Rhinolophus ferrumequinum: one gene and its partner. The protein of the gene in region 2 binds, or shares a complex with, the protein of the main gene of each other region. Links are inferred from orthologs where the notes say so. Each region holds a gene or a part of one and is shown on either strand. Other genes may lie near its edges.

What was found. The genes of interacting proteins can lie anywhere in the genome.
Region 1: CEP290 (region 2) and CC2D2A share a complex: the UniProt entries of both Homo sapiens proteins name them as parts of the tectonic-like complex. The link is inferred for Rhinolophus ferrumequinum from reciprocal best matches to the Homo sapiens genes CEP290 and CC2D2A.

The regions. Positions count from the first base shown.
Region 1 is NC_046288.1:78,839,130-78,847,014, forward strand, and holds the start of CC2D2A (coiled-coil and C2 domain-containing protein 2A), read right to left. Parts: upstream 3,020-7,885; 5' UTR 2,853-3,019; intron 1-2,852. UniProt on the Homo sapiens protein: Component of the tectonic-like complex, a complex localized at the transition zone of primary cilia and acting as a barrier that prevents diffusion of transmembrane proteins between the cilia and plasma membranes.
Region 2 is NC_046293.1:80,227,616-80,235,437, reverse strand, and holds the start of CEP290 (centrosomal protein of 290 kDa), read left to right. Parts: upstream 1-4,813; 5' UTR 4,814-5,029; exon of another isoform or gene 5,030-5,187; 5' UTR 5,188-5,264; intron 5,265-5,549; 5' UTR 5,550-5,577; coding exon 5,578-5,679; intron 5,680-5,821; coding exon 5,822-5,899; intron 5,900-6,956; coding exon 6,957-7,026; intron 7,027-7,320; coding exon 7,321-7,367; intron 7,368-7,822. UniProt on the Homo sapiens protein: Involved in early and late steps in cilia formation. Its association with CCP110 is required for inhibition of primary cilia formation by CCP110.

The DNA.
Region 1 (7,885 bases), on a different chromosome or scaffold from region 2:
GAGGTGTTCAGGGTTTCACTGACTTTAATCGGGAATTAGCACGTTAACGGGGAGCAGAGCACTGGAAATTCAACTGTTTCCCATCTACACCTCCACACAGGCTACAGAAAGAGCGGAAGGGAAATGATAAAAGCAGCTAAGAAAATAAAAATGTGAAGAGGTACTCTAGAAAAAACAAGGGGGCAGATAATGCTGAAGGACACAAAAGCTCTCTAAGAAACAACTCTGGCAATTAAGAACTGGAGAAAAAGAACTGTGAAGTCATTTAGTAACTAAAAAAAGATTCTTAATAAATTAAAAAGTGTGATGTATGAAAGAAAGAAGTAGAAGTAGAAAATGAAAAATGTAATGGGGTTGATTTTTTTCTCCTCATTCTTTCCTGATCATTACCTTTGAATGAGTTTCTAATGACAACAAAATTTATTTTTTTATGAACACTCTTGCTAAGAAAAGATAAATCAATACTCCCCAACTTTAATATACCACTTGTCGTCATATGCACTGAGCACTTGTTAATATATTTCTATTGGCAACATCAAAATAAGAGCCATAATTTACTGCAGGTTTCTTTTGTGCTCTCTCTCTATCCAAGTTGTCCCTAGGCTTCACAAGAACCCTTCTAGCTCAGTAGCTCTTGCCTCAATTTACATGTAAGGAAACCAAGGTTTCCTCTGAGTCTAACCTCTGACAGTTTACCTAATTTGCCCAAGATTATAGTCATAAAATGCCATATTTAGAACTTGACCCCACGTCTGTGATTCCAGAGTCCACCCCCTTACTACTCTCTCTCTCTGTCTCGCCATATATTCTTGCTTTTTCAATGATATCAGTAACTGTTCTATGCTAGCCCACTATTCTGGAACTATTTTCCATTGAAAACTGTGGAGCATTGCCTCAGTGAGAAAGAGCTTTGGCTACTTCAGGCCAGTGATTTGTTTAACTCAGTGCAGAACACCAAAGACATTTTTGAAGGAAAGTACTGACACCTTCATCAAGGCAAAGACTATCCCTGAGGGTCACCAGAGGATCAGAGTCATAAAAGGACCCTGTGACAAATTCTACAGAATGTAAGAAAGAAAGGAATGAAGGTAGATGAAAAAGGTGGCATTGTTTGAATCTCAGCCTTGGCTGCTTAAAAAATAATATAGTATGTGCATCCTACTCCAGGACAGTGAAAACATGGGTTTATAGAAAGAGTGAGGGCTCTGTAAAAAATTCTGTGGACCTGGGTTCAATTCCAGCACTATTTATCAGTTGTGTGATCTTGGAGCAATGCCTTTACCTCTCTGAGATACGTTTCTATGTCTGTGAACGTGGGGCCATTAATTCCTACCTCGATGGGTAATAATTTTATAAGGGTTAAATAATAGAATGTGTGTAGTAAAATGCCGAACACTTACCACGCTCTCCATTCTGGTTAGTGTTATCAGGAGAAGGAGGTGGTAGGGAGGGAAAGTAGAAGACAAGAGTGGGGAAGGAAAAAGAGCTTAGCGGACAGAAGGGGAGTCACAAGAAAGACCTTCTGTGATGTTCAAGTCCCCCATTCCCATCTTTGGTTCCTCTCTTCATCCCATGGGTCCAATAAGCAATATCTCCCCTTCCTTCCCCAGCTGGGCCCAGGGCAGTTTCCTTTCCGTTTCCATTCATGGTGATTTGAAGCCTTCCCCTGCCCTCAGAAGCATGAGTATTTTCTCCCTGTGTACAGTGCTTAACTGTTTCTGTCCCATCCTGTGAGAACCATGGGCAGGTGCCACACACACCTTTTTGAATCCATTACCTGCTTCTATAAGTTATTCTGACCATAGCTTCCAGTAGTAGAAGGTTAGTGACAAATGGCTTTATAGAATCATTTAATCAGCTTCATATAATGTGTATTGCCTTCAAAGAGTACCTACAACTATCTGAGCTGAGCTGGGTGGTGTATGCCCGATGCACACACACGATGAACTGAGTGTCTCAGGCGCTCCCTGGGGGTGGTCTCGCTGGGTGCTAAGAGCGTTAGACCCTTTTATAAATCTCTTATGGCACTTAGCTCATTGCACTGTTATTATCTGTTTGTAAGTCTGTCTTCCCGGTAAACCCTGAGCTTCTAACCTGGTCTAATGCATCTTTGTACCCTTTAAACTCCCGCTCACTGCCTGGTGTGTTGCTGATGCTCAAGAAATGTGTGAATGAATGTCTCTTTAAACAAGCTCCAGGAGAGACAGAGAGAGACTTCATTCTGGTGCTGAGTTTATTTGCAGAAGTTACATGAAAATTTAATAACATCCATGTATTTCCCATTAGACTTCATTTGCTTTTCATAGCACCTCTTTGCAATGAAGGGAAACAATCAGTTTAAATCGCAGCCAGCAGATTTTCTTGTGGTTTTTTTTGGAGAGAGCAGGGAGCCTCAGCCCCGTCTGTCATGGCCCTTTTCTGTCTAATGCCAAGAAAAGTGAAGCTTGCAATAGCTAGTACTTAGCCCTTCGAACCAATGTGAGCTAAAAGGCCCGGAAATGCAAACGCAGCAAATGTTCCTGGGAGTCTGGAAAGCAACAGGATGGAGGGGATGGAAGCCCAAGGAAGGAGGCAGGGTGACCGGCTGGGAGGGATTCACCAGGCTTGTGAGGAGCTGCGTTGAACGTTTCTATACACAAGAACCCGGGCAGAAGCGCAAATCAAAGCAGCCGAGTAGTGCTCTACGTTTTAATTCCAGAAAGTAAAGCATGAATAATAATGATGAGAGACCCTAACTTTACAAGTCAGTGAAATCTGCTCTGGGCTCCGAGGGCAGAGGCTGAACTCCAAGGCAGGGAACCGAAAGCGGGACCCCAGTGCTGCAGCCCTGCTCCCGGGAAGAACGGATTTACCTGAAAGACCTTTAATGAAGGCACTTTGCCGATTCTGCTTTCCGGGATGAAAGGGAAGTGGAGCTGGGTCTTCCTGTTGAATCTTCTAAGCGTCCAAACGAAGGGATGAATGTTGGGGCGTCCCCGGGCGGCTCCCTGGGAAGCTGCAGCCATGTCTCCAGCAAAAACACGCACTTAGCAACGTGTTCCTAAGGGAGGTGGCTTGGTGGCTTTATTTCTCTTAAAGTGACAGGTTATTCCTAGTAGAGGAACACAAAGGTGCGTGGGGGGTGAGAGCAGAAAGCAGCCTACAGGACAAGGAAAAAGAGAATCCACCTGGGGCAGGAGCTGGGCAGAAGTTAAGTCAAACTTTAAGAGCCGTTCCCTCCCTCATGTGTGGGGTCACTGGCATTTCTGGTAAAAGACAGGCCGTGCTCAGAGGCGGGTGCTTTAGAATCATGATGGGTCATTGTTTTGGAGTGAGGATATCTTTGTAGTGAAGGCTCCCTAGAGGTGCTTCCAGGCCCCAGCAAATACTGCTCTGCAGTGTTTTCCGCTTAAATGTGGGAGACTGAATGTACAAGGTTAACCTCTGCTTTTTCTCTGACTCCCACTGAAATGATTGAGCGAAGATATAAATGTGATGGCTCAAAAAGCCAAGGGATAGGAGAAGAGGCAAAGCAGATGGAAGAGCACGGAAGGAGTCGACCAAAGAAAGCCACACTCCAAGTATGCGTGTGTGTGTCTGTTTACTAGTGCGCATGTCCATGTCCATGTGTCTCTCTGTGTGTAACTGGGTGTGTTTGAGTGTATCTCTACGCGTGTCTCGGTTGGTTTGTCTCTGGGTATCTGTGTCTATGCATGTCTCTGTGTGTTTCTCTGTATGTATGTATGTATCTGTGTGTCTCTGTTTCTGTGTATGTTTGCACATCTCTGAGTGTGTGTTCCTCTGTGTGTCCATGTACATACATGTGTGTCTGTGTGTGTATCTGTGTATGTGTGGGATGGGGTAAGTAGGCGTAAGAATGAGGAAATGAACTGATCCAGTCTGCAGAACTCCAGAGAAGCTCAGGCTTTGGCTCAGTGTTGTGATGCGCTGAAGAGTGTCCCACTATATCTTTTTTAGTGGGACACTAAAAAAGATATGTTGGAGTCCTTACCCCCAGGTCTTCAAAATGTGACCTTATTTGGAAATGACTCAGTTTAAAATGAGGTCATTAGCATGGGCCCTTATCCAATGTGACTACATTCTTATAAAAAGGGGAGAATCTAGGCACAGAGACAGACGTGCATAGAGGGAAGGGGATATGAAGACACAGAGAGAATAGCATCTATAAATCAGGGAACGCCTGAGGCACCAGAAGCGAGGAGACACATGGGACCCATTCTTCCTCACAGCCCTGAGAAGGAACCAATCCCGCCAATGCCTTGGTTTCTTACCTCTCATCTCCAGAACTGTGAGACAATATATTTCTGTTGTCTTAAGCCACCCAGTGGGCTGCTTTGTTGTAGCAGCCTCAGGAAACTAGCACAGTTATATACCAAGGAAAGTGGGGAGAGTTATGGGGCTGAAACGCAAGATTTGGAAGTCTGTATACAGAGGGGCTATGTCCTCAAGCTCCTTCCTTACTCCTGGCAGCCTGAGGAAACACGCCCATTCCCCCACCCCCTCTTCTTCTGCCACTCAGAGGAGACTGGAGTTTTCTATGGAAGTTGAACCATAGACACTCTGGTCTCAAGTCCCAGGTACAGCAGACAGTGGGTGTGTTTCAGGGTTGAAAACTGAATATGAAATGGGGAGGTGGGTAGGGCACTCTCCTTCTCACAAAACTGAGGCAAACAAAAGTATATCTTTGGCTCCCCCAGTAACAAACTGGAAAACATGGAAAAATTATTTTCTGGAGAAACTGAATGGTCACAAAGAACAGATGCCAGATACTGACACTTCTGGATCCTCCAATGGAAAAACAAAACAAAACAAAACAAAACAAATCTATCATATCACCTTTACAGAAAAGCATTGCAGAGAAAATGAGAAGATCTCAGGTTAAGAAATTCCACATATGTAGTTATGGAAAGAAAGAACCAAGAAAATGAAAAGGTAGAATTTATCAAAGAAGTAATATAAGAAAAACTCTTATATTTTTATTTTAGATTGAAAGCTGGCACAAGGAGACAGAAAGTTATCTCTCGGTTTCTTTTCTGCATGTGGTGGGAAAAATATTCTCCACAGAATTTATAATCGTTGGCTTGCACTATGCTGTTTAATTGTCTTATTGATGCTACCTATATCATTTAGGAACGCTCCCCCAAGAGACACATTTTAAAAAGCGATCTCCGTTTACTGTATTCCTGTGGGATTCTGGGCAGGAGCAGATACGAAATATCTTCAACTAGTCAATTCCAGATGGCTGCAAATATACTTTGCTGAAGATGAGCTCACAATCCAAAATTAGACAACACAGGAGGGAACAATCAAGAGTCCGTAGACAACCAAAGGGCATATCCAAGAACTTCTGATAACACAATGATCAAATGGAGAATATAAAAAAAAACAATGACCATAAAAGAACTTAAAAGGAGGCTTTGAAGATATGAGAGATATACTATGAAAAAGATCAGGCAAATGTGCAAAGGAACAAGCTAGAGCTTTTAGAAACGAATAATAAAATTATGATTTTTTTTTTTTAAGCAAAGGATGGGTTAAACTTCTGTTAAGAGAGCTGGAAAAAGAATTAGTGACATAAAAAAAAGATATTAAAAAATTAAAATGGGGCCTAGAGAGACGGAAAATGGGAAAGAATGGATGAAAGTCAAGGAGGAGAAATTTAAGGGGTCCGCCATATCTGGTGGAGTCCCAGGAAGGTAGAAGAGAGAAAGAAGGTGAATGCTGAATCTTAACATAGAGAGATCTTCGTCAACTTCCTTTTCTATGTTTCAGTTTCCTCATCTGTAAAATGGGGTTAATAATATTAATGACCACAGAGGGTTGTTAGGTTTATTAATTTAATGTTAATCAAATCCTGGCAGATGCAAATGCTATACGGTTTATGAATGAAAAAAAAAAGGTGAATATTGTCTTAGCTCAGACTGCTTTGATAGAATACCATAGACTGGGGGTGGGGCTTAAGCAATAAAGATGGATTTTCTCACAATTCTGTAGGCTGGGAAATCCAAGATTAAGTTGCCAGCTGATTCAGTTTTTGGTGAAAGCTCTCTTCCTGGCTTGTAGATGGCTGCCATCTAACTGTGTCCTCACAGGGTATTCAGATGGAGACAGAGATAACTCTTCCTCTTCTCATAAGTCCACCAATCCTTTTGGACATCCTCACTTGGATTAAGGCTCCACCCTTATGACCTCATTTAATCATCTAACTTTATCTCCTAAAATTCTTACTTCCAAATACAGTCATATTGAGAGTTAGGGCAGCAACATGTGAGGTTGTGTTTTGGGGGACACAGTTCAGACTATAGCAGATGTTAATTGTAAGAGATTATCTACTTGAAGTGGTTAGTTGCCATAAGAGGATTTATTCACCAGTCTTGTGCTAATTAACTTTCTGATTATGACATTCCTTATCTGTTCGTATTTAACTAAACTAAACCAGTTCATAAGAATTATACATCTCACAATGTTCCAAAATTATTAAAGGGCATAATTCGAAAACATCATTTCTTGCAAAAATTCTTATGTGAGCAAAATAAATGAGTCTAGCAGATTTGTTTTAAATCAAAACACAAAATTCTCATTCTTTTAAGTTACGTGTTCCTAGCTGGCTGAAGAGCTTCCAATCAAGAACTTGTCTTGAATCACACATCACAAGCTCTTCTTCTGCGTCTTTTCAGATAATCAAATATGATTATCCTTCTTTCATTTTTTAATGGGGTGAATTGCATTAACAGGCTTTTTAACGTCAAATTTTTCTTGTGTCTCTGGGGTACACTAAGTTTGGTCAAAACGTTTAAAAAATTAATTGGTGGATTTTAGTTACTAATGTTTAGATTTTTTTGCCTTAATGTTCATAACTGAGATGATATTATTTTTCGTTTTTTGTATTGTTTTTTTTTTAGGATATTTCTAATCTCAGAAAAAGCAGACTAATCTCTCTCTGTGTACCTCTTTCTGTCTCTGTCTCTGTCTGTATGTCTGTCTGTTTCTTTCTCTCTCTCTCTCACACACACACACACAAACTCTGTTCTGTGAACTTGTGCATAAAACACTTGGGTCCAGTGAGATTTTTTTTATCATGGTAAAAATATATATAACATAATATTTGCCATTTTAGCCATTTATCCAGTTTTATCGTGATATAATTGAAATATAAATTTGTCTTAATTTTAGGTGCACAACATAATGGTTTGATATATATATATTGCCACCTAGGAACGCTTAACCTAAAAGAATGAGAGTTTTGCATTTTGGTTTAAAACAAATCTGTTAGATTCATTTATTTTGCTCGCATAAGAATTTATATATATACCAAAGTGATCACCACGATCAGTTTAACTAACATCCATCGCCTCACATAGTTACAATCTTTTTTCCTTGTGGTAAGAACTCGAGAACTTTCAAGATCTACTCTTTTAGCAACTTTCAAATATATATTTTAACCACGTTTAAGTGTACAATTCAGTGGCATTAGTTACATCCACAATGTGTGCAACCATCACCACTATCTATTTCTGAAATTTTTTCATCACCCCAAATGGTAACTCTGTACCCAGTAAACAATAACTCTGCATTCCTCCCTCTGGTAACCCAGCCCAGCCTCTGCTAACCTCCAGTCCACTTTCTGTCTCTATAAATTTGCCTATTCTAGTTATTTCATTTACTTGCAACCGTATGATAATTGTCCGTTTATGTTTGGTTTAGTTCCTTTAACATAATGTTTTCAAGGTTCATCCATATTATAGCCTGTGTCAGTACATCATTATGTTTTAATGCTGAATCATAATTCATTGTGTGCGTATACCACATTTTCCTTATCCACTTATCTGCTGATGGATATTTAGGTTGTTTCTACCTTTTGGGTAGAGTGAATAATGCTTCAATA
Region 2 (7,822 bases):
GGTCAGATAAAACTGCTCATAAAATCAAAAGAAAGAAGGCAGGTCCAGGCAAGCATTCCTATAATAAGGCCATTTATAAAATGTCACATAAATCCCTTCTCTTGGTGAAAACTGACTGATACAGAAAATCTGATGAAAAATAATGGTGAATTTAGGTGATTTTCCTCAAAATTATACAGAGTTGACTGAATTAGATCTTCAGTTAAATTTTTTAATTCAGTTAAGTACAAACATACTATAATGCATTAGGACCTAGACCATAGCTAACTCATTTCTGCTGTATCCCCAGGATTTAGCAGTGTGTACAAGCTCAAAAATATTTTTAGAATAAGTAAAATAATGACATTTAAGCAACATTTTGCATTTTGTCAGGACTATAATTGAGATCTGGGTTGCAATCTTAGCTTCATTAATTATTAGGAAATTACTTAGCTTCTTTGAACCTGTTTTTCACACTTGAAAAATGAGAAAGGACAGTCTCTTTAATAAATTATGTTGGGAAAACTGGACAGCCACATACAGAAGAATGAAACTAGACTCCTGTCTTACCCACTCATTAGATCAGGTACCTTGAGTTGTTGGGAATATAAATGGGAATAAGAGGGTGAGGGGAGTAGAGGGTAGAAAAGACCACTACAAACAAAACAAAACTAGCAGATGAATAAATAGAAAATAATAATTACAATAAATTAAGAAAAATAAGGTGCTGTAGTAGAAATAACAGATTTCTACTATGAAAATATACAGTTGAAGCATAGTATATGACATAGTATGTGCTCAACAAACACTAGATTTCATTCCTATCTTCCCCTGCTAAATTATGAATTAAAAACACTGAACATGAAAAATATTTAATTCAACTTCTTGAGTAAACAAAGTTGCATAATTAGAATATGATAATGTTTCATATAAATAGCAAGATCGATGTACAAGCACTTACTTGACAGTATTGTTTCCCAGCATGCATGAGGAGGCAGCATAGCACTTACAAACGTCCTCCAGCCACAAAGATCTGTGTTCAATCACACTATTTAAGTTTGAACAGAGTACTTAACCTCTCCAAGCCTCTGTTTCTTAACTTAGTTGGAAAATGATGACAATATGGGGTCAGACAATTAAGTTCGCGAACTCATCCTAGAAAAAGTGCTATAGACCTCATTGCTGAATATCACTGTGGTCACCTTCGAAGTACTCCCCTTGGGAAGCTGTGCACCGATGCCAGCACCTAGTCCACCCTTCAAAGCAATTTTGGAACTCTTTTCCTGGAATGGCCATCAGAGCTGTCATTGTACGTATTACCCTTGATGTCCTGAATGTCATCAAAATGTCTTTCTTTCAATATTTCCTTTCTCTTCAGGTAAAGAAAGAAGTCATTGGGGGACCGATCAGGTGAGTAGGGAGGGTGTTCCAATACCGTTATTTGTTTACTGGCTAAAAACTCTCTCACAGACAGTGCCATTGTTGTGATGCAAGAGCCATGAACTGTTGGCGAAAAGTTCAGGTCTAACTCTTTCACGCAGCCTTTTCAGCACTTCCAAATAGTAAAGGTGGTTAACTGTTTGTCCAGTTGGTACAAATTCATAATGAGTAATTCCTCTGATATCAAAAAAGGTTACCAACAGGTTGTGACAAGTTTGCGAACTTAATTGTCACACCTCATATAAGGACCTATTTCATTGGATTGCTATGAAGATTGAATGAGATAATGACAAAGCTATAGCAAATAGAACAGCATGGTATTGGTAGAGTAGGTAGAAAGGTAGAAATGAGCAGGAGAAGGAGGGAACTAGCCCTGGTTATAAGGCCCCTTGCAGCTGCTCCTACTTATCAAAAAGATATGTCCTTAGAAGCAAAAAGAAATGCTGGAGAAGGAGGGAAAACAACCCGGTTATCAGAATGTACATCCTGCTTCTTTGGACCATACAATTATAGTTTGCCCCTTTTTAACGAGCTTCTCAAATACATCATGGGAAATTAATGGGTTCACACTTGCGCCCCAGGAAACAACAGGAAGAGAGGATGGACACACCCGCAGAAAGAGAGAAAGACACTGGACAAGGGGAGGAGGAGACAATTCTACCTATAGAAAGAAAAACCCTCACACAATGTAAGGAGGCTGCTTCCTTCTCTTGGGTCAGCGGGCTCCATGTCTGGGAGTGTACTTGCTTTTACTAATAAACTGCTTGCTGTCCTACGCTGCACCAATTCGGCCTCTTGACTGAATTCTTTCCTTTAAGACAAGAACCGAGGAAAAACGTCACTCCCAGTAACAGTACTGGTATAAAAAACACACACATAGACCAATGAAACGGAATAGAGAGCTCAGAAATAAACAGAGGGACCAAGAATATACAATGGGGAAAGGAGAGTCTCTTTAACAAATGATGTCGGGAAAACTGGACAGCCACATGCAGAATGAAACTAGACTGCTATCTTACCCCACTCACAAAAATCAACTCAAAATGAACGAAAGACTTGAACATAAGTCCTGAGATCATAAAACTCCTGTAATAAAACAGGGGATAAGCTATTTAAGACTGGTTTGGGCAATGGTTTTTTGGATTGGACCCCAAAAGCAAAGGCACCAAAAGCAAGAATAAACAAGTTGGACTACGTTAAACTAAAAAGCTTCTGCACAGCAATGGGAACCATAAACAAAATGAAAAAAACAAAAACAACCAACCTATCGAATAGTAGAAAATATTTACAAATATGTATCTGATAAGGGGCTAATAAACAAACTATGTAAAAGACTCATACAACTCAACAGAAAAGGAAAAAACCCCAAATAATCCAATTAAGAAATAGGCAGAGGAATATCTTTCAAAGAAGACGCAAACTGTCTTAATGAAAAGGTTAATGAAAAGGGGCTCACCACTAGTCACCAGGGAAATGCAAATCAAAACCACAATGAAATATCACCTCACTCCAGTTAGAACGGTTGCTATCAAAAACACAAGAGACGAGTGTTGGCAAGCATGTAGAGAAAAGAAAACCCTGTTTACTGTTGGTGGGAATGTAAATCGGTGCAGCCACTATGGAAACTAGTATGGAAGTGCCCTGAAAATGTATGAAGTGCCATATTATCCTGCAATTCTACTTTTGGGTATGTGTCTGAAGGAAATGAAATCACTATCTCAAAGAGATACCTGCACCCCCATATTCACTACAGATTATTTACAACAGCCAACCCATGGTAAGAACCTAAGTGTCCACCGAGGGCTGAATGGATCAACAAAACGTGGCATATGAACACAACGGCATATTAATCATCTATAAAAAGAAGGAAATCTTGCCATTTGCATGAATGGGCCTCAGGAGTATTATGCTAAGTGAAGTAAGTTAGACAAAGAAAAATATTAACTATCTCACTTAGATGAGGAACCCAAAAAAACAGGATTCACAGAAACAAAAAGCAGACTGGTCAAAAGTTACAAATTTCCAGTTATAAATAAGTTCTGCAAGATGTAATGTAGAACATGGTTTTTTTAAAAAAGATAATGAATAGTATGTGACATACTATCTTACAGTAAACGATTAGACAGAAATGATCATTCTCAGAAATCTGATGACTGTCTTTAAATGTACCTCAAAAATCCGTATTTGTTTTTATTTTCTACTAAGCTATGAACCACCCATGGTTTGGAAAGAAATCTATTATTTATTTTCAAAAGGAAATTTTAGTATCAACTATAGTAAGAAAAACCAAAGTGCTTAAAAAAAAAAAAAAAAAAAGATGAGGCGCTGGTCCAAACAGTTGAAAAATGCCATTTAGATTTCAAATCTATGGCTCCTTAACAAAATTACCTAGTGGTGTATTATACTCCAGAATGGCTGAGAGCAGCCGGATGAGCAAAACTTGCACAAATACGAGTTGTACACACCTGAGAAGGCACCTTCCTAGAAGGGGAGCCTCGGGAACCAAGTAAGTGACAGCAATAGGAATGCTGAGTACCGAGGCTCCTTCTCTCTCCACCCCTAGCAGTGGCCTAGACAAGTTCTAACCTCTCTTTTCTAGAGCCTTCAATCTACACTAACTCCTCAGCCTTCCAAGTCCTTCAAACCGCGAAGGTAAAAGTGCTACAGGTAAGGGGGGCGAGGTCGTAGGATGCGGTGTCGTGTCTTCTCAATCCTTCACTCGCCCCCAAATCAGGACCTCGATTGCACGGCCCCCACTCCACTATACAGAGCCAGATTCTGACACCAAAAAAGGCTAAAACTTCCCCCCTCCCGCCCTTCTTCTTACAGAGGGCACCACCCGGGGCGTCCCTTGCAAACGCCTAAGGAGAAGGCGGGGTCGTCCCACCTCTTCAGACTCCGACAGGGCCCTTCCTCCCCAATGCTCGGAGCTGCTGTAAGCCAGGACCGCTCCCATCAACACCTCCCCCGCCGCTGACCCACACTCTGACTTCACCTGGGAGCAGTTCCACCGAGGGATGGCTTAGGGAAACCTCAGAAAAAACGGGCCAACGAGCGACGCCACCGAAGGCACAGTCATGGTCAACAGTGCAGATGCGCCTCAGTCACTGCGCCTCCCGCCTCCCGATCTTTACCCCGCGGCCCGGTACAGTCGCAGCCTCCCGCTTTGCATGCCGGGAAAGGCCCGCCTCCACTTCTCAGAGACTTCAATTCCCAGGATGCACAAGCCTCCAAAAGCACTGCACTCTGGGACTTGGAGTCCTAAGCCCACGCCCTTCTCCTCCTCCTTAATACAGAGTCCCGGAACTCCTCTGGGGAATCTAAACGTAAAGCATCACCCATAGTCGTGAAATGTAGGCTCCGCATGCATCCGGGGCCTTGTTTTGGCCTTGACTGGGTGGGGAATGGTGTCGCCTAGCAGCCGCCGCCGCTCTTGCTGCTCGGGATCAGTTAGCTGGATCCAGCGTGGGGTTGGAACCGCGCTGGGGAGCGGTCAGGCGTGGCAGCCGGGTCAGGTCTGGTGGATGCGGTAAATAAGGAGCCGCCGCTGGTTGCCAGGCTTGGTGGGTGGATCCTGGTGAGGCGAAGCAGCGAATCTCTTCCCACTCAGGTTCTTTAAGCCTCAGGGCCCACACCAAATAGCCCATCTTCCCCGCCCCTTAGTCTTTGGTCCGCAATGCATCTGCCGTCTCGCTTCAGCCCTGGTTTCTCCTGCGCGACTGCACTCATTTCAGTCGTTTATGTATGCACTTTTTTTTAAACCCACAGTTGCTGCTTTTCCGAATCAAGGGTCAATTTCAGCCTTCCAAGCACTCCGCCCAATTAGGTGTTCGCGCGCCTTGGTGGTAAGGATCATGGAGAAGGGGACTCAGAATCTTAGTTCTGACCTAGATTAGTTTTAGCAAGGGAGCTGTCATACTTTATTTAGCCGATGCAATATCTGATGGTTTGTGCCGACTGCTATATTTTGATCAAGGCTGTTTTGCCCACTTATCGGTTATACTATTAAGGAGCCATAGTTATTTGCTAACACCGAGGTTACAATAATGTAATCTATAAACACTAAATTACTGTAAAAACAGAAACGCTGTTTCCCTTCAAAATGCTAATACCCATCTGTTTTGTTACAGAAGGTAAAGCGTTGTTAAAGAATTCAAGATGCCACCTAATATAAACTGGAAAGAAATAATAAAAGTTGACCCAGATGACCTGCCTCGTCAAGAAGAATTGGCAGATAATTTATTGGTTTCTTTATCCAAGGTGCTTAATTGATAAATAATACGTAGATACATCAACTATGATTAAGTTGTTCCTGAAATCACTGGATGGTATAACTGGAAGAATTCTTATATTTTGCTTAAGTGTTATGTAATATAAAATAGTTTCTTCTCTGTTTACTTAGGTGGAAGTAAATGAGCTAAAAAGTGAAAGTCAAGAAAATGTGATACACCTTTTCAGAATTACTCAGTCACTGATGAAGGTTTGTATGCAGTAGATTTTAATAACAGGTTTGACTATTAGAGAAATTCAAGAATCTGTTCTTAAGTGTTAATCTCTGTGAAAGTACTTTGTAATGTCTAAATCAGCACAAAAAGTAGATCTTCAAATGTGATTGATAATTTTAGTGTGCAAAAACATTGGTAGTTTCTGCTCTAAATTTCCTAAAAGAATGTGTGGGGGAAACAGAATGTGTATGTTTAAAAATAACGTAGGAAGGTCCTGTGTTAATTTTGTTAACAATGATGAGGTAGAAATGAAAAATGCAGATAACTACTATAGGGATTTGTTAGAAAAGGAAGAGATTTATATGTGAGAAGACCTCATAAAGGTCAAAGAGTGATGAGTAGTTTTAGGTAAGTGGAAGGCAGGGGTATAATGTTAAGGAGATTCTAGAGCTGGAGGTTACCATAAATAAAAACTGGTAATGGAAAATGTGTGTATTCTTTATATTGAGGAGACAAGTGCAGAAAGTTTATAGCTGGTCATAGAGGAAACAAATGTTGGGTATATATAATTTGACAGCTTTGTCAAGGACTTGAAGTGATATTTTATGCTGTCAGCCATTAAAGGTTTTTGAGCCACAATGATAGATACCAAAATATGCCTTGGGAAGGCTAAACTAAGTATGTTAATGGGACACATTGAAGGGAATTGAAGCTGTTTAGACATAACATGATGAAGGAGGTTAGACTTCAAATTATGGACTAGCATAATGACAATTAGAATAGAAAAAGAAGGTATAGTAGAAAAGAATAGAAAAAAAGATAATGGAAAACAAAGGGAAAAGTTGCAATACTGGATATAAGACTTGAGGATAAAGAGGAATCAAAGATGTTTCAAACTGTTAAGAATCTAGAAATTATAATCTTAAGAAAGAAAATCATGTATTCATTTAACAAATATTTGCCGAAGATCTCCATGTGATAGACATTGGAGACACTAAGTATTGGGATTGCAAATAAAATCCTTATTTTCAGTGCTTGCATTCTAGTATAAAGGCATATTGAAGTCACTTTTTTTTTTTTTTTACTGTTTAGATGAAAGCTCAAGAAGTAGAGCTAGCTTTGGAAGAAGTTGAAAAAGCTGGAGAAGAACAAGCAAAATTTGGTAAATGCCTTGGAAAAAGTTTATTATGATATTAGATAGTGGATTCCATTTATTCACTAAGCAATAGAGAAATTAACTTTGATGTAAGTCTGTAAAATGTATATACTCAATTTATTTTGAAAGCTGTTTCTAGAACTCCTATTTCACGGGTCTGGTGTAAATTTGTTATTTTTCTCTTATATTACCTTTTTACAGTCACAATGGACTCTTTAAAAATAATTTTATTGAAAAAATTTTAAAAGCTTGTTTTGATATAAATCTGACCAATTGAAACATTTCTTTTTTTTGAAATAGAAAATCAATTAAAAACTAAAGTGATGAAATTGGAAAATGAACTGGAGGTATGTCTTTTCATATTCCCTATGGTGTAATTTGTTGTTAATTTTATTATTTTGAATTATTAGTTTGATAATTTTGATAATTGTTGGCTGTAAAAATTACAAGAATGACACTGTATTCATAATTATTTGTTCAGTAATGTAATAAATGTAAAATATATATTTGTCATGTCTATTATGTACCTTAAATTCTATTAAGAATTGATCATCTAATTGTGAACAAAATAAAAACATTCAATAACCTCATGAAGCTTACAGTTTAGAGAGATATACAAAGGATTACTAGTAACTGAGGTGGAGCAAGGCACATTGGAATTTGAGGAATAGTGACAGAGGGTATAGTAGAAGTAGCTTTTGAGAAAGCCAGGATCCAAAATATGAAAGTATTGTTAAGGAACTAAATACATTTTGAGATTCCTGAAAATGTGGGGAGGAATGTGATACAAATAGGTTAGCCT